Drosophila melanogaster: one gene and its partner. Changing the gene in region 2 together with the main gene of any one other region gives a genetic interaction. Each region holds a gene or a part of one and is shown on either strand. Other genes may lie near its edges.

Region 1 (6,529 bases), on a different chromosome or scaffold from region 2:
AATATTTCATAAGTATTTAATTGTATGGTTCTGGACTGTATTTTATTTGTGTGGGGCTATTGCTATCTGAACTCCCTCTTCGCCACTTGAAAATATCAAATAACAAATATTGATCGCGAGTGTGACAATGATTTATTTGCCTTACACCTACCGCGCTCGAGATCTTATCAAGCAGATAACGATCTGGAAATTATAATATTTGACTTACGGTCTGAAAGTCAATAGGCCGCGTTATCTGGCTGAGGTTGGGGCTTTGATTAAATATTTAATTTACCTGCAGAGTTGATTTAGACAGAAAGCGTCTGACTTTTACAGACGACCATTTTTGTCAAAATGTTTCGTAGCTCGAAAGAGATGTTATTCTATTATCAGATTCGACTCTAAATTGACTCTAAAGGCTTAAGGATAAAGGTATAATTTTCAATCTGCAAAGGAATATGCAATTTTCGTGTTTTCTCCAATAATTATGATGCTCCTGTTGATAGTCAATTTCAAAGTTTGTACCGATAGGCTACTGGTTTTTGTTTTTGAAAATGTTTCTCCTTCCTCTTGGCTATGTCAATTTGATAAATGTTTGCCCCTTGTCTGCGTGGATGCCACAAATATTTGTGTTTGTGTTTGTTTTTCGTGAGCAGTTGTGAAAAAAGCGAAACGGACACGGGATCGCCGGGCATCTCCCGGCATGACTAAACAAATTTATAGCCCACTGGGAGCGCAGACTTCTTCAAAATGCCGCCAATGTTGCTCAACTTCCTGTGCAAAGTGTGTGCGTTTTGGTGTGAGTGTGTTTGCCTTACAATTGGCACAGCAAACGGGGAAGACATCGTGGTGGTGTGGAACGAAGATGGGGAAGGGGTTACGGGGCAGACAAGCGATTTCATTCATGAATTCATATGTATCTTATAGATACAACGAGCTCTGTCGCGAGTACATGGGCTGCATCGATAGTGCGGCATTGCCATAAATGAGATTTCAGCCTGTGCGATTTCAGTCGTCGGGCTTAGGGCAAATAATAAATAAATATCGGCGGACAGTCGGATGCAGCTATGAGATACTCTAAGTCAAAACAAAAAGTCGAATGATTTGCGGTGCACACATGCAAACACGTCTCAGCAAGTAAAAATAGATGAAAGTGTTTTCTTTGGAAATGCATTTTATTTCTGGAGGAATTCCGTAAACAAAATCCCAAAATACGTTAAATTCCATATGTATATAGAATAATAATATTTAACTGTAAAAATCATTTTCTATAGCTTAACAAAATCTAGAAGATTTGACAATCATGGGGAAGTACACGTTGGGCGCCATATGTTTACCATGTAAGTATGAGGCTAATACGTAAAGTTAAGTTGCTTTTGCTACTCTTCATCAGCAAACAAGCTTAATCACCCATTCGATATACCCTCAAGTAGATCTCATTGGTTGACTAAGTAATTCTCAGCTTCATTTGGTATGCATATCATGAATGAAAACGTCATCCTTTTGAAGACAACGTAGACCTCCCAGCAGCAGAAATGAAATTTTTTCCAGAGAAGTAAATAAACAAAAGCAATAATAATAATAATCGCGTTCGGTAATTTGCATACTCGCCAAAAAAGAGAAGCAAACGCACTGCGAGCCCTCGCCAGCTTCGTTAGACGATTTTAATGTCTTAATATATTTCGTTAAATTGAGTCATTAAAATAAATCGCCATCGACGATGATGATGACGACGACGACGACCACAAAAGACGCTGACGATGTCGGCGCCATCACGATCGATCGTTTGCCACAACTTTCCAGTGGAGTTCAGGATGGGGCAGAGTCAAAAGCACGTTACAACCGAGCCCCGAGAGACTTTACGAGAAATAATTGAGATGCACACACACACACACACACACACACTCACACTAAAGCGGAGAGGCAAAAACAAGAGGAAAACCAACTCGATGGGGAAACGAGATGGGGCGGGGGAATGAGGGGGAACAACAACAGAGCAAGACACGCCACGCGGTCGCCAAGGAACTGCAACTGCAACAATGATGAAGACATCAAGCTGTAAAAAGCATCAGCGAAGCAGCGAGAAAACTTGAGGCGGTCCACACAGAAAAACTGAGTTTTCCTCAAAATGTTTACTGCACTTCCATCTTTGAAATATGTTACTAACCCTAAGGATAAACTATCGTAAAGTTCGCAAGTTTAACTAGGAAATCAATTCTGTCTGGAAATCAATTCTTACTTTTGCCATGTAAGCGTTATTATTTGTAAACGGTTGTTTCTTTTTCAGTGTAGCACAGTTTGGAAGTCACTGCGCGAGCAGAGTCAGCAACAACAAAGCGCGTGCGTCAGTAAAATTTTTTCCTTGGCTCTTTTCTTTTTTTCCGCTTTTTGGGCCACCCGCATTCAATGGCCCGATCCCAACCCGAAAAACGATCACTGGCTGCTTCATTTGCATGGGTGGGAATAACAGCAGCAAACTGAAATGCTTTTGGCAACGAAAATGGATATAAGACTGCATGCTGCTCTTTTTAGAGTTCACAACTATATTGGAAATATTACCTTCTGAACTATACCTTCAAGATCAATAAAAAAAAATCTATATAAATAGTAATGAAAATATGTGCGCCCTTCATTTATTGACATTTAATTAGACTAAACGCTTGCTAATCAATCTCATAGTGCAGAGCCAAAAAGCAAATTGTTTCGAAATTATATAGATTACTCATTACGTCACGCATGCTTCTAATCAATCTGCGAAGAATTCCCAACCGAAGTCGCCCCACAACTCGTATCACAGAGCATCTGAGGAGCGTTGACTGGGGCGGTGGGGCATTGGGGCGATGGAGGGGTGGGGCGGCTCCGAAAAGAGCGGCTGGAAGGGGGTGGCCAATGGCAGTCCAGCCAGCAGCATCACGTACGAAATGACTCTCGCGGAGACCTCGGCGCCCACCCATGTTGGAAGGCAACACACAACCACACACACAGATACGAACCCACACCAGCAGAATGCTGGGCAAGTTGTTGCTGGCGTTGTTTATTATTTTTGCTGCGGCTGCCAAAGCTTTCTGCTTTTTGCCTTTTCGGCTGCTTTCGACTGCTGGACGGAACTCCTGCTGCTGCTGCTGCCCAGTTTTTGCCTAGCTGTTTTTGGCGCTCGCCGCAGTTGCAGTTGCAGTTGTTATTGTTCGGTTTGCGGTTTCGGACCAGCCGCGCACAGTAGCGCCAAAGTAATGAAGTTGTCTGTGGATATGTCCGTCTGGAGTTGGATCGGTCGGTTTGGGATCGGCGAAACGAGTACGAAAGTCCTGCTGTGTGTCTACGTCTGCGCAGCGAAAATAGATGTGGATTGATGGCGGTGCACAGAGAATAAATACTAACAAGATTGGTAAAACATCCAATTTGTTGTAGTTTTAGACTGCAGCGAAAGGGTTATTCCGTCTACTTTTACGGCGAATAGTTTCATAAACAAATGTCTATATTTGGAGGTAAATCCTCCACGCTTTTTATGTCCAGAGAACGAAATAGCAAAATTAGCATATAAGCCGATTGGCGTGGATTTCAACTAATCACTGTAATTAATAGGCTGCCTGGCAAGCGAACATCAGACAACTATATTAACCAGGGAATCGAACGAAAGAAAACGAAACGAATGAAATGAAATCGAAACGACCGGCGAAGAAGACATCGGCGACGAAAAAAACGCGAAAAATATTGCGAGAGATATTGGCAATAAAATTTATTGAAATCTGTCCCGGCGACTTAATGGCCGCATTAAACAAAAGCCGCTGCTCTTCGGATTTACAGTCGAACTTCTACATCATGGTTTTTAGTTAAGTGTCTCAATATTCTAATGACAAGAATTGTACAATATAACAATTTCAAATTTTAAAAAGATTGTAAATTTACTTAATACTTCAAATCTTTTGCTTAATTTAAAGTAAAAGGGATTACTAACAAAAGTTTCGAAAGAGCCAGATTTTCCATTTAAACTTATAAAGGATCCTCCGAATACGATTCAAGAATATTATTGAATTCAACACATGGCTATCCTTCACAGTGAAAGTTCACTGTAGTTGGGCACTCACCTTATCTATCTGATCGAGCGCCACTTGGGCGTCCACCCAGCTGGTGCGTATGTAAAGATCCGAGAATAATTTCTCATCGACCACATCGCCGTGTGTGTCCGGAACGCGTGGGAGGCTGTCGCGGTCCATTATGGTTATGTTTATAGCCAGATTCCGGACGGAATCGCGTGGCGGAGATGTGCAGATGGGAGTGTGCTGCGGAATCGGTCTTTCTACAGTGCCTGCCGTTCGTCTGCGTCCTGAGAACTGAGACTTGGGAGACAGTGTGCGGATTGTTCGTGGACTTTCGGTTCGATTAATTGTTATTGGAATCTCGTATTTTGTTTGGCTGCATTTTGCACTGCATTCCGCATTTTTATTTTTAATTATTTTGTATTTTAAATCAAGAGACGCTCTCTCCCGCGCTCTCTCGCTCACTCACTGAGCACGCTGTGTATCTGAGCTCTCGTTGTGTTGTTTTGTTGTGATTGCTGGCTTCGCTTTTGCTGGGTTTTTTCGACGATTAAAACGCGGTTTTCGGGTTTTATCTTGGGCACAATTTCTCAGGGGAATTTGACAGAATTTTCACAGATCTTTTACACATGGAAAAGCGGCAGTCGGACGACTCACGTATTCGGTTTTCTCTCTCGCCTTTCGCTCTTTTACCTTTACTTTACTTTGCACTTGGCGACGCACACACACAAACACTGGCTGGTTGGCTGGCTTTTGTTGTTGCCTGGCATTTAATCCATGAACTTCGCCTCGCATCCGTGAGGTACAATATCTTAGCTTTTCCACGAGTTCTGTGATATCTATCTTGTTAGTATACCACACACAGAGAGTGCCAGTAGTCGGAAATACGAATAACAAGTCGTCGCGCTCCGCACTTACAACCGTTTCGTTCGAGGATCGCACGCAGTCTGAGAGATGTATCTGTATCTCGTGGATGCGGCACGCCAGCCAGGCCAACAACTTCATTAGGCGAGCGCGCGCCGCTGTTTCTCTCTCTCACTCTCTCTTGCCCAGCGGGCGTCTGTGTGCACTGTTTTGCGCCTGTGTGCGTGGGCGACACTCAACACACAACACAGACGCTCTCCCTACTCTCACTCGCTCTCTTGTTTCGTGTGCGGCCATTTTGGTTTGAGAACGCTCTCTGCGAGGGCTGCTTTAACGATAGCTCAACGCACAAAATACCGAGGGGTGATTCAGGAGTTTTTCCGAGAAAATACCAAGTTTGTTATATAAAATTTATGAATGCTTGTTGCAAAATAAAGAATAACTACCAATGTAAATACATATGTTAACAGAAATTAAGAAATAAAATATATATCTATTACTGTTTAAATATCCTTTGTAAATATTTAAGTGATAATAATAATGATAATGTAATTGTTGAGCATACGGACTTAATGCTTGGAACTCATTGTTTACATTTATACTTTTTATAAACAAATAAAATATGTAGCTCTAATATACCCAAATAGCTCCGCCACGAGAGCGCTAATTTCTATTGTTATTCGCATGCCGTAATTTGTTTTTTTTTTGCATGGACCACCCAAAGTGCCTTGGCTGCTGGTTTGTTGTTGCCACTGTAGTTTATTTTCGCTGCAGTGTGGACCACCCAAAAATAAATTTGTTTCTGCCTTCATTAAACTGAAACCGCCAAGCGATGTGGGTGGTCCCCTACCCAAACGTTCAGCTCTGCCGATGTCGGCCTTCAGCGTCGGCAGCGCTGCCCAATGGAGCTTTCGTCTCAGTGTGTGTGTGTGTATTTGTTTGGGGGAAGCGCGTGCGTGGCAGGCTGCGCATGCATGTGTGTGTGTGTAGCCGTGCCGCGAACTGTTGGCAAATTTGTTAGCTTTACATTGCTCGTGTTGTTGGTTTTATGGCTGTTGCTGCTGCCCCATGCGATGATGTCTGTTTTTGCATGTTCCGATGCTAAATTATGAGCGGCAGGATGTTTCTGCTTTTCCCTTTCCATTGTTTTTGCAGCCTCTTTGCCCCATGAATCTCAAATATGCGAGGGGTTATGAGTGTGCGAGGACCACACAAGTAGGTTTGTTTTTGCCGGCAAATTAAAACACAGAACAAATTATATGTTTATTAGACGTAGTCTTTAAATATTTACTCTAAAATCGACTTATAAAAGAATTTTTTTTTTTTATTTAAAAAAAAAAAATAGACTAAACAAGTTTTTTTTTAATTTCTGAATAATAATATACCAATGGAATAAACTCATTTTCATGCGACAACCGCAAACCGATCTTTTTTGTGCACCACGAACTTAAGCCAAATGACATGTTATCTTTAAAACTTCTTTGGATTTATGAATGGAAATGCATTTGCTTCTGGTGTTTCTCCGCATTCCACATTTTCCCTTTCCAATTGAGGCAACAACAACGAAGTAAACAAATAAGAACTCTTCGAAAAAATTGGCGCTCGAATCATCAGCACCATGGAAATTCAAATTGAATGCAACTGCATAG
Region 2 (8,639 bases):
GTTTTCGTATCAGCAGGCGACTTAAAGCCCGTCACTTGGTTAAAGACAAAAGACAAGCCTTTGGCGACAGAATCGGTTTGAGATTTGTTTTTAATTGATTCGAATCGATTCGATTGGATTCGATTCGAGTTGAATTGAATTGACTTTCTGTCAGTCTGTGTGTCGGCTGCTGGCAGTATGTTCGTCGCCATTTGCTGACAGGCGCTATTACAATTTTATTAACATAAATTATTGCGTTCAGATCGATCCGATTCAGTTGCGAGTACGTACGTAAGTCGCCTACAACTAATGGAAGCTTAATGGTTGTTAATGCTTGGTGACGGAATTTCTCAACGAAACTACTTTATTGGCCCAACGCGCTTTTGATTGCCGATTTGCGTGTGGATTCAATTGATACTCGATCATATCTGCGAAATAACTTGGCTTATTATTTGCTACCAAACAGGCCAATCATGTTGGTTGACACTGGACATGACAATATATATATTCTGTAATTGAATATCCCACCGATAACAATCTTAAAACGATTCGCTCTTTGATCTGTGAACAAGAAAAAGCCGCCAACCTTGAGCCTTAATGATGGCGCGTTTTTAATCGCCAGGAAAACGCGTGCGATGGGATCAAAAGGTAAAAGACTGGAAGTCAGGTTTACGAGGATCCCTTCCAGAGTTGGGGGCTACCCAAAACCAGCTGCCATAGATCGGGCTATTTAAACACCTTAACGGACTTCACTTGCCACATTTTCGGTCGGCCACGGTTTTTAATTAATCTAGCATCTTGGACGACTTACGCGGAAAAAGGGTCAGAGGTCGTTGAGGCGAGCACATTAGGCTGGAACACTCGACTGGCGGGCTAATTAAGTCATTAGCCCGAAAATGTCCTGCTGCTGCTGCTGCCGCTGCTTCTGCGCATAATTAATCATTTTAATTGTCTGACTCCTTGCTAAAGGACAAGGGGAAACCAAGGGACAATGTGGAAAGTGCAAAGGGCAGATCGACATTCCAAAGGTTGCCCTCGAAAACTGCGGGGGAGTTCTCGCTGTTGTTGGTTATTTATTGGAATAGGCACATTTGGCATGTGCTTCCCCGCGTTTCACCAGGCGTCAAATTCTCGGGCACAAAATGTTTTCATTCCGGTTAATTGAGTTAATTGAGTTTTGAGGCAACCCTTTTTCTGTGGCCTGGCGAAATCACTTAGGCCACTTACGAGCAAGCATTTAGAAATACATTTGAAAACTAAATTAAACACAGGGTCTAAGTAAATTTGCTTATTTCGAAGTATGCAACTTTAGCATGGCTTTACTCGCGCTTCAAGTGATATATTTAAACTCAATATTCTAAATTCAAACTGTTTAAAATTTACAATTTGGACAGATCTACATAGGTACTATTTCTAAACAAGCAAAAGCGCAGTCCACAAAATTCTTAATATGTTTCATAAATCATTTCTACACAACATAATCTAACAAATATTTTCAAAAAATTGTAAGTACCAAACACGATAGATGACACGATAAACAATATTTTATGGCTTTAATAAACAACATTGCCTTCTCAAAACTGCTACTTTATAGCAGTTATATAGTCTTAGCGACAATGTAAAACTTTGCCAATCAGTAGCAAGCCCGCACTTTCCACCGGCAACACCCACCCACTGAATGACGCTGTCATCAAGAATGACGTAGGCGACTACCCCGGAATATTTCTGCAATTTCTGTAGTGTCAAGTTGAAGTTCATTCATACACACATATGGGTATCTGCACCATGTGATTTTTTATAAGCGCCTTCTAAATAGATAAGATAAACTTGTATTCAACGAAATTCGCGCATAGCTGCCTTAACTTTTAAATTTGCCGTGTGACAGTATTTTTGGGGCTAAATTTTGGTCAACATCTAAAATTAGCAAAAATTTCGGTTGGTCAGAAATAGGTTTTGTGGTTTATTGCAGCCACAGGCAAATGAGTTGGTCAAAGTTCAAACCTTATCAGTGCGAATACAACGATGCGATTAGCACCTATCGTGAGTTGGCTTTCCCACGCGACTGATTCACTGGCAATGTTTAGCCGAATAATAAAGGGTACTGGGTGACGCTTGTTGTTGCACTTTGTGTTGTTAGTTAATTGGTATTTGTGCAAGTCCACGCTACCTGGCGAAATACGTCAAAAGCACTGGAAAAGGTCTACGCGCCAAAAAGCACAACCGCCACCAAACGCAATCCAATCAAAAACAAAAAGCAACTGCAATCTCTCCCTTTCACAATGTCTGTTTGAAAACCGTCACGTGATTTGTCGCCGTCGACTTAGGGGGCTCATTATAGTGACAGAACTCTAACAAAAATTAGTAGACTACTGTATTTTATATATATATATATATATATTTTTTTTTTTATATATAGAACATTTTAGTTGAGCTTTATGTTCGAAAGTTGTTTTTCTAGTGACAGATAACACCTTGTAGCCTACATTGTGGCCCAAAAAATTTCAGAATTTTCGGTTAGATAGTTACCATGTAACCGTTTAAGATATTTAGAGTAAGAAAAAGTAGGCTTCATAAATGATTAAGATGACTACAGTTAACCACCCCAAACACTAACAGAATTTGTTTGTTTTACTTAAAATCCAAAAATAATTTTCTAAATACAACAAATAAGTACACAAAAAATAAAAAAAAATTGATTCATATTTTGCATTTAATGTTTGAGTACAATGTTGAGCTAGTAACACAGTAGTTTTTAACCACTCATTAAAATTTATAATTTATTCAGCTACAAAGTATAAATTAGCAACGAACGAAATACAAATCTTTTATAACGGTGTTTTTGATTCTGACGCTAATGTATGATGAATCAACGAGTTGGCAGCGTTTCAATCACTTGAGCCGCAGTTTCGTCAGATCGGAAGGATGAATTGGGAATAACAGATAAACCCCATATCACACCTAGGGAACCGACCGACCACCATTCACTACAGCTGACCACCGACCACCATTCTTGGCGTTTACCTTACTCGCCCACTACTTGCTCTCACTCTCTCCGTCTCCCTCCCGCCGAACCGCACCGCATCGCACTCTCTCTCTCGTGCTCGTTCCGTCGCAAACGTGCTCGGCGTGAACGCACGAAGCGTCGCCTCATCGACAGGGTCTTTTTGCTCATGGCTTCAGTCTCTGACTAGCACGCTTGGGGAACACACAGTGAGCGGAGCGTCCGCAGTCGCAGTAGCACTCGAAGTCCGCTTATCCGCATCCGCAGCGTTTTCGAATTTTTCAGACCTACCATTCGATCCGATCCGATCCATCTGGCACATCCTAACCATCTCTAATCGTAACCCCATCATCGTGATCGCGTCCGTAATCGCTCCGTTTTAACGTACTCGATGTTCCGGTTTTGTGTGCAATCGTTTTCAAAGGAGATCGAAACAATAATCTCGGCGGATAGGAAATTTGAAACACGAATGTTCGTTTCGCAATCCAAGAGAGTCGTTACAATTTGAAAAGCCCGCAATAAAAAAAAAAAATCGTTTAGATGCGAGCAATTCGAAGATCGGAAAATATATAAAAAAATAAATATATATATATGATTTGTGCTGTGTTTGAAAAAGGAATATAAGAAAAAAATTATGAAAATGTTGAATTGTTGTTGCCGTAAGTTTTAAAGTGTGCAAAGTGCAACTCTCTGAAAATCAACGAAGAATACAACGCGTCCAAAAAAAGAATCGTAAAACTGAAAAAAAAGCAAACAAACATAAAACCTAGGTGCGTAATTTTCTGTTTCAACGCTGTTACATAAGTTCTTTTTTTTAATAAGTTTGTTGTTCCTCCAAGTATTTGTTCGAATGTTGCAAAATATTTCATTGGATTTCGGTCTTTGGAGCTTAGCAAAAGCAAGCCTAAAATTATTGAAAGTTTCAAGTTTGCCGAACGGAAAAAATATATGTTTTTCTGTATTATTAGATTTGATGTTTTGAAATACTAAAATTTATAAAGAGTTTCAGTGTTCTTTGGTCGCGCAATGTTGGGCATTTAAATAAAATATTTTGAATACGTTGAAATGTGGCAATTTGTTTGGTAACTTTCAAAATAAATTTAAAACATTTTCCACTTGGCAGCGGGCCGAGTAATAAGTGTATTTAAATGACCCACGAGGGAAAGTAATTAAATAGCAATATGTATAAAAACGAAATAAATTGATTTCAACAAACAAATAGCAAGCTAAAGCAAATGGGCAAAAACTTAATTTATATTAGTGGCATGCTAATTGAAATAATTTAGTTCATATTTGATTTGATTGATCAATACCTGTGCAGAATGATATTCACTTAAAACGTAATCTGATTGCATTTAGGTATAAGCGAATTAAATTTGATTTGCAGCCTAGTTTTTCCAAGTACTTTTCCGCGTTTATCTGCCCCAAATAAACAATTGGTAAAGCAAACAAAATGTAGCAAAATGTTTTTTTTTGCCAACCGGTGAAAGCAAACGACCTTAGGAGAACCCACTCTATGAAAGCGAAATTCATATAAATTTAAGCACACGATCTTTGGGATTATTTATAGTTTTTTTTTTTGCAAAACGCATATACATTTGCGAATCTTTATCGCCGTCTTGAAATGTATCTGTATCTGCGTATATGCGAATTGTGCGTATCTCTATTTGCAAACGCACGCAGGCGCTTTTAATCTCATTTCGCTAACTTTTTCGCAATAAACTTTTTTTCTGCTCACTCTGCGCGTGCACTTTTTGTCCTATAAATTGGCGGCGCTGACTATTATCTAACATTTGTGCGCTATTATCTAAGCTGGCTTGTTGTTCTTGTTCTTCCTGCGGATGATTTGCGCTGCGTATCTGTATCTGTATTTTGTATCTGTGTGCGAATTTGCGTTATTGCCGCACGCTAGTATGCGTCGGGTTCAACAACTGCTAATCACATGCCGGATCACAGTTTGGACAGCCGAGCGACAGACAAAGTGCGAAATATGGGGATCGCGATAAAGAATAAACTGAATGAATTTCGGCTGTGTGGACTAGCGGGTGATATCCTTCAAAATTAATGGCAGCGAAGAGTGCTTAACTCAAATCAGGGTCATTATTTGTAGAAGCTATTAACTATTTGGTATTTTCAGATTTTTTCTGGTCATTTTTCAAACTTATCTGGGGTCTAGGGAAAATATTAAAATTTTGGTTTATTACCTTTTACTTTCCTTTCATAACTTTTTTATTGGTTTACAATTGTTCCAGCAATAAGGGCTATTAGTTAGTATTATAATCAAGTTAATCTTTTTTGCTAACTTACATAAGCCATAATAAATCTTATCTTCTAATTCTAATTGTATAACTTATTAATAACCAAAAATAAGCGATAAAGATTCATACATTAATTATACATAATTGAATTGTGCCTCTTCAAATGCCGATCAAATTTTATTTCCTTTGCCGTTAAAGTTCTCACGTCACAATTTCATCAACTAAAAAATGAATATCCCCCAAGGGCAAAGAAAATAATTGGCTAATTGTTTAGTACCGCTTACGAAACGGTTTCTGGCTACGTCAACGATTGAATAATTGAAAAGACCACCGTAAATTTAGACATTAAGACATCAGTTTATGCAGAAAAACCAATTGAAGTGATTAAATTGCATGGGCAGTCCCGAATTAATTGAAAAGTAAATTTATATTTTGGTAGTAAAAGAGTTGCGCGTGGAATTTATATTTCCCCGGAGACTGTCGTGCATGCCTTCGGACTTCAGATGTCATAAAGCCAGCCAATTATCAGGTTTAGTTCTGAAACGCACGAGTTGGGTAACTTTTCGCTTGGGCCTGTGACACATTTACAAATTGTGCCTGATTGATGGGGCAGCAAGCCCAGTGGAGCCAAAGTTTGAAATACAACGATCATAATTCGTAGATAGATAAAGCTTATCGCATGCAAAAGAAAAAAGTTTTATGGCCGTGCGTAAATAGTTTTGCGGTTTGTTTTTCTTTTTGCCCAAAAGTGGCGCATAACACTCGGAATATAAAGTCAACCGAAGTCGGCGAAAGAAGGCGGAAAATGCGGGAAACTCAGTAAAAATGTAGCGTTTGTTTTAATTAAGCGTGAACACTAGACCACATAATGTGCGGCATACATTTAGAGACGCACACACACGATCGCACATGGCAACAGCTTTAGGTACACCGCTCAGTTAAAAAGCGAGCAACAAAAAGGCAAAATGAAAACGAGAAAATCGTCGCGTATTTTACTCAGGTTGTTGTTATTCTTGTTGTTTCTCTTTTTTTTTTGACGGTTTTCCTTCTTTTTTTACACATATATATATATTTTTTTTTTGGTTGTTTGACGCATTTTAAAAATATCCTAGACGCAATTGTTGTTTTGTTGGCTGTCTGTTTGTCACATTACTAATACGTCGCGTTGTCTTTGATTTCGTCGTTTTCGGTTGGTTTTATTTTAAAACGACGGTTTTCCTTTTAATTTTCGCACGTAAAGTGCGTGACTTTTAATTAGACTACAATAAATGTGCGAAATTGTGTGGGAGATGAGTCTGCCAGTGGGCAGTGTGTTGGTGAAGGCAAGAGATACATTTTAGGTGAGATACATGGTGAAGGTGACAGAAACCGACTTAAAGTCCTAGGGTACTTCCTGTTTTCAGAAAGAATATTTATAAACTAATATTTAAGCAAATAATTTTAACAAATGAAAAATGATTTGTTAACAAGTTTTTCATTTTGAACTTTTTAGGGAACTAATTATTATATGTAGACTATCTCTAGAAGTAACTTTCTCATTTTATTTTCCTTTCTATATGGTGTCAATATATCTGGCGACCGATATTTGCTTTGTTGTTAGCATCGCCGCATGTGATTGAATCGAATTGCTGTGCGTCGTGTGTGCGTGTATCTGTGATTGTGCCCTCGCCTGTCTCGTGCACTAAATATTTAAAATAGCTGCATCTTGAGAGGATTTTTCCCGCTGCCGCTGAGACTGCGGCAACCCAATTGCTTCCGGTTCAAATCGATTACACAAAAGCGCTGCCTTTGAGCGCTCAGGTTTTTCACCGTACTTTTCTTTTCTACTTTTCCCTGGCGGCAGTGCTTTCCCCGCGGATTGTTGGCAAGTATCTAACAGTGATGCCTTCAAGTATCTTATGCCCGTTTCCATACGAATGAAGTGCACATCGATTAGTGCATTTGGCTGGCTGCCTGAGTTATGTTTCGGTATCTTTTTCATTTCCCCCGTTCGACGCTTTTCTTGTTTTTCCAAAGAAAACTAATTGTTTTGTAAACACGGGAGTTGGATCGTTGGGCGGGGGTATGGGATCCCAAGAGAACCAGATCAGCGACAATAATCTTCATCGAAATGCATCGCCTTGTTTGCATTCTGATGGATACCATCTATAAGGCAGTTGTCAGGGAATGCCATCGCACATCAATCTTTCGCTAAACATTCCATAATACAAACTAATGCACGAATGTACATACGTATGGAAACAAGTACTATATGTATATTTATTCTCGTTCAATCTTGTGACAAGTGTCAACACGACAATGAACGTCAGACACTTAACGGGGAAAATAAATACAAATTTATCTTCTCTTGAACTAGAATTTCATTGTTAGGCCCATATATCTTTGCACATTTGTTAAATTCTTTTCGCTTTCAACGTGGCATTGAAATACTTTTTTTAATAGTAGGCAAAATAATTAACTTAATGTGTTGCAGTGCACAACATTGTTTTGTCTACTTGTGGGCCTAATTTATTTTATTGCCCAAACTAAAGTTGGGCAAAAAACATAACCACAAGCCATGAATAAATTGCACATGTAAGTGAAGAGTCTGGGAATTTGTGGTTTTGGCACTGTTTTTTACTGCCAACCGCAAGAAGAATGAGATACGACATTTACTAAAGAGTTTTCTGGGTAATGGATTCGCGCAATAAATATCAGGAATTAGCTTTGCTTCTGAAAACAAACAAATAAATCTGAAGGGGACACAAATAAAAATAAATATATATAAATTGCCAAAATACGAATAAATATAATTAAAAACAGGAAACCTTCACTTCTAAATGCTGCAACCGGTTATCGTATTCAATAAACATAAAACATAAACTTTATGCTAATTTCATCTCGTATTTATTTTATTAGCCTATTTCAATTAATATTCACCTGTTATTATAAATAATTTAAAATTTTTCTGACCAGCCAAACTGCGTGAATCATTTGCATATTAGCCAAAACCATAACATGGTCTAAAAAAATTTACATATGTCCGAAATTGTAGCTTGTAATAAATGTCCAAAGAGCGTTTCTCGCCTTTGTCTTTATATTAGGGTAGCCAAGCGTCTGACATGAACTAATTAAGTTGCGCAGCTCGGCTTAGATTTATTGCCATCCAGGCGATCCGCCAGATACATGCGATCCGCCGGATACTTTCCAAATGCCACAAAGCACATCTGTCAGCGCCGCCATTAAAACAGCGGCTATTGCAAATGTCAAACGCATTTCAAACGCATAAACTTAATGTTTTTCGATAAGGGGCAGTAAGCCAAAAAACAAAACTTTTTAAATTTGCTAATCAGTTTGTGGAGCGACTGCCATTTCAGATCGATGACTAGGCTCGGCTCCGATTTCAGTGGCTGCCCAAAAAC

The links. Genes that interact genetically often act in the same process or in processes that back each other up.
Region 1: of bnl (region 2) and ptc, changing one suppresses a phenotype caused by changing the other (phenotypic suppression), as found in Drosophila melanogaster (one study listed by BioGRID).

The regions. Positions count from the first base shown.
Region 1 is NT_033778.4:8,648,086-8,654,614, reverse strand, and holds the start of ptc (patched), read right to left. Parts: upstream 4,967-6,529; 5' UTR 4,194-4,966; coding exon 4,065-4,193; intron 3,919-4,064; exon of another isoform or gene 3,562-3,918; intron 3,365-3,561; exon of another isoform or gene 3,119-3,364; intron 1-3,118. UniProt on the Drosophila melanogaster protein: Segmentation polarity protein. Acts as a receptor for the hedgehog protein (hh). Associates with the smoothened protein (SMO) to transduce the hedgehog signal leading to the activation of wingless, decapentaplegic and patched itself.
Region 2 is NT_033777.3:19,831,373-19,840,011, reverse strand, and holds the start of bnl (branchless), read left to right. Parts: upstream 1-3,194; 5' UTR 3,195-3,750; intron 3,751-8,639.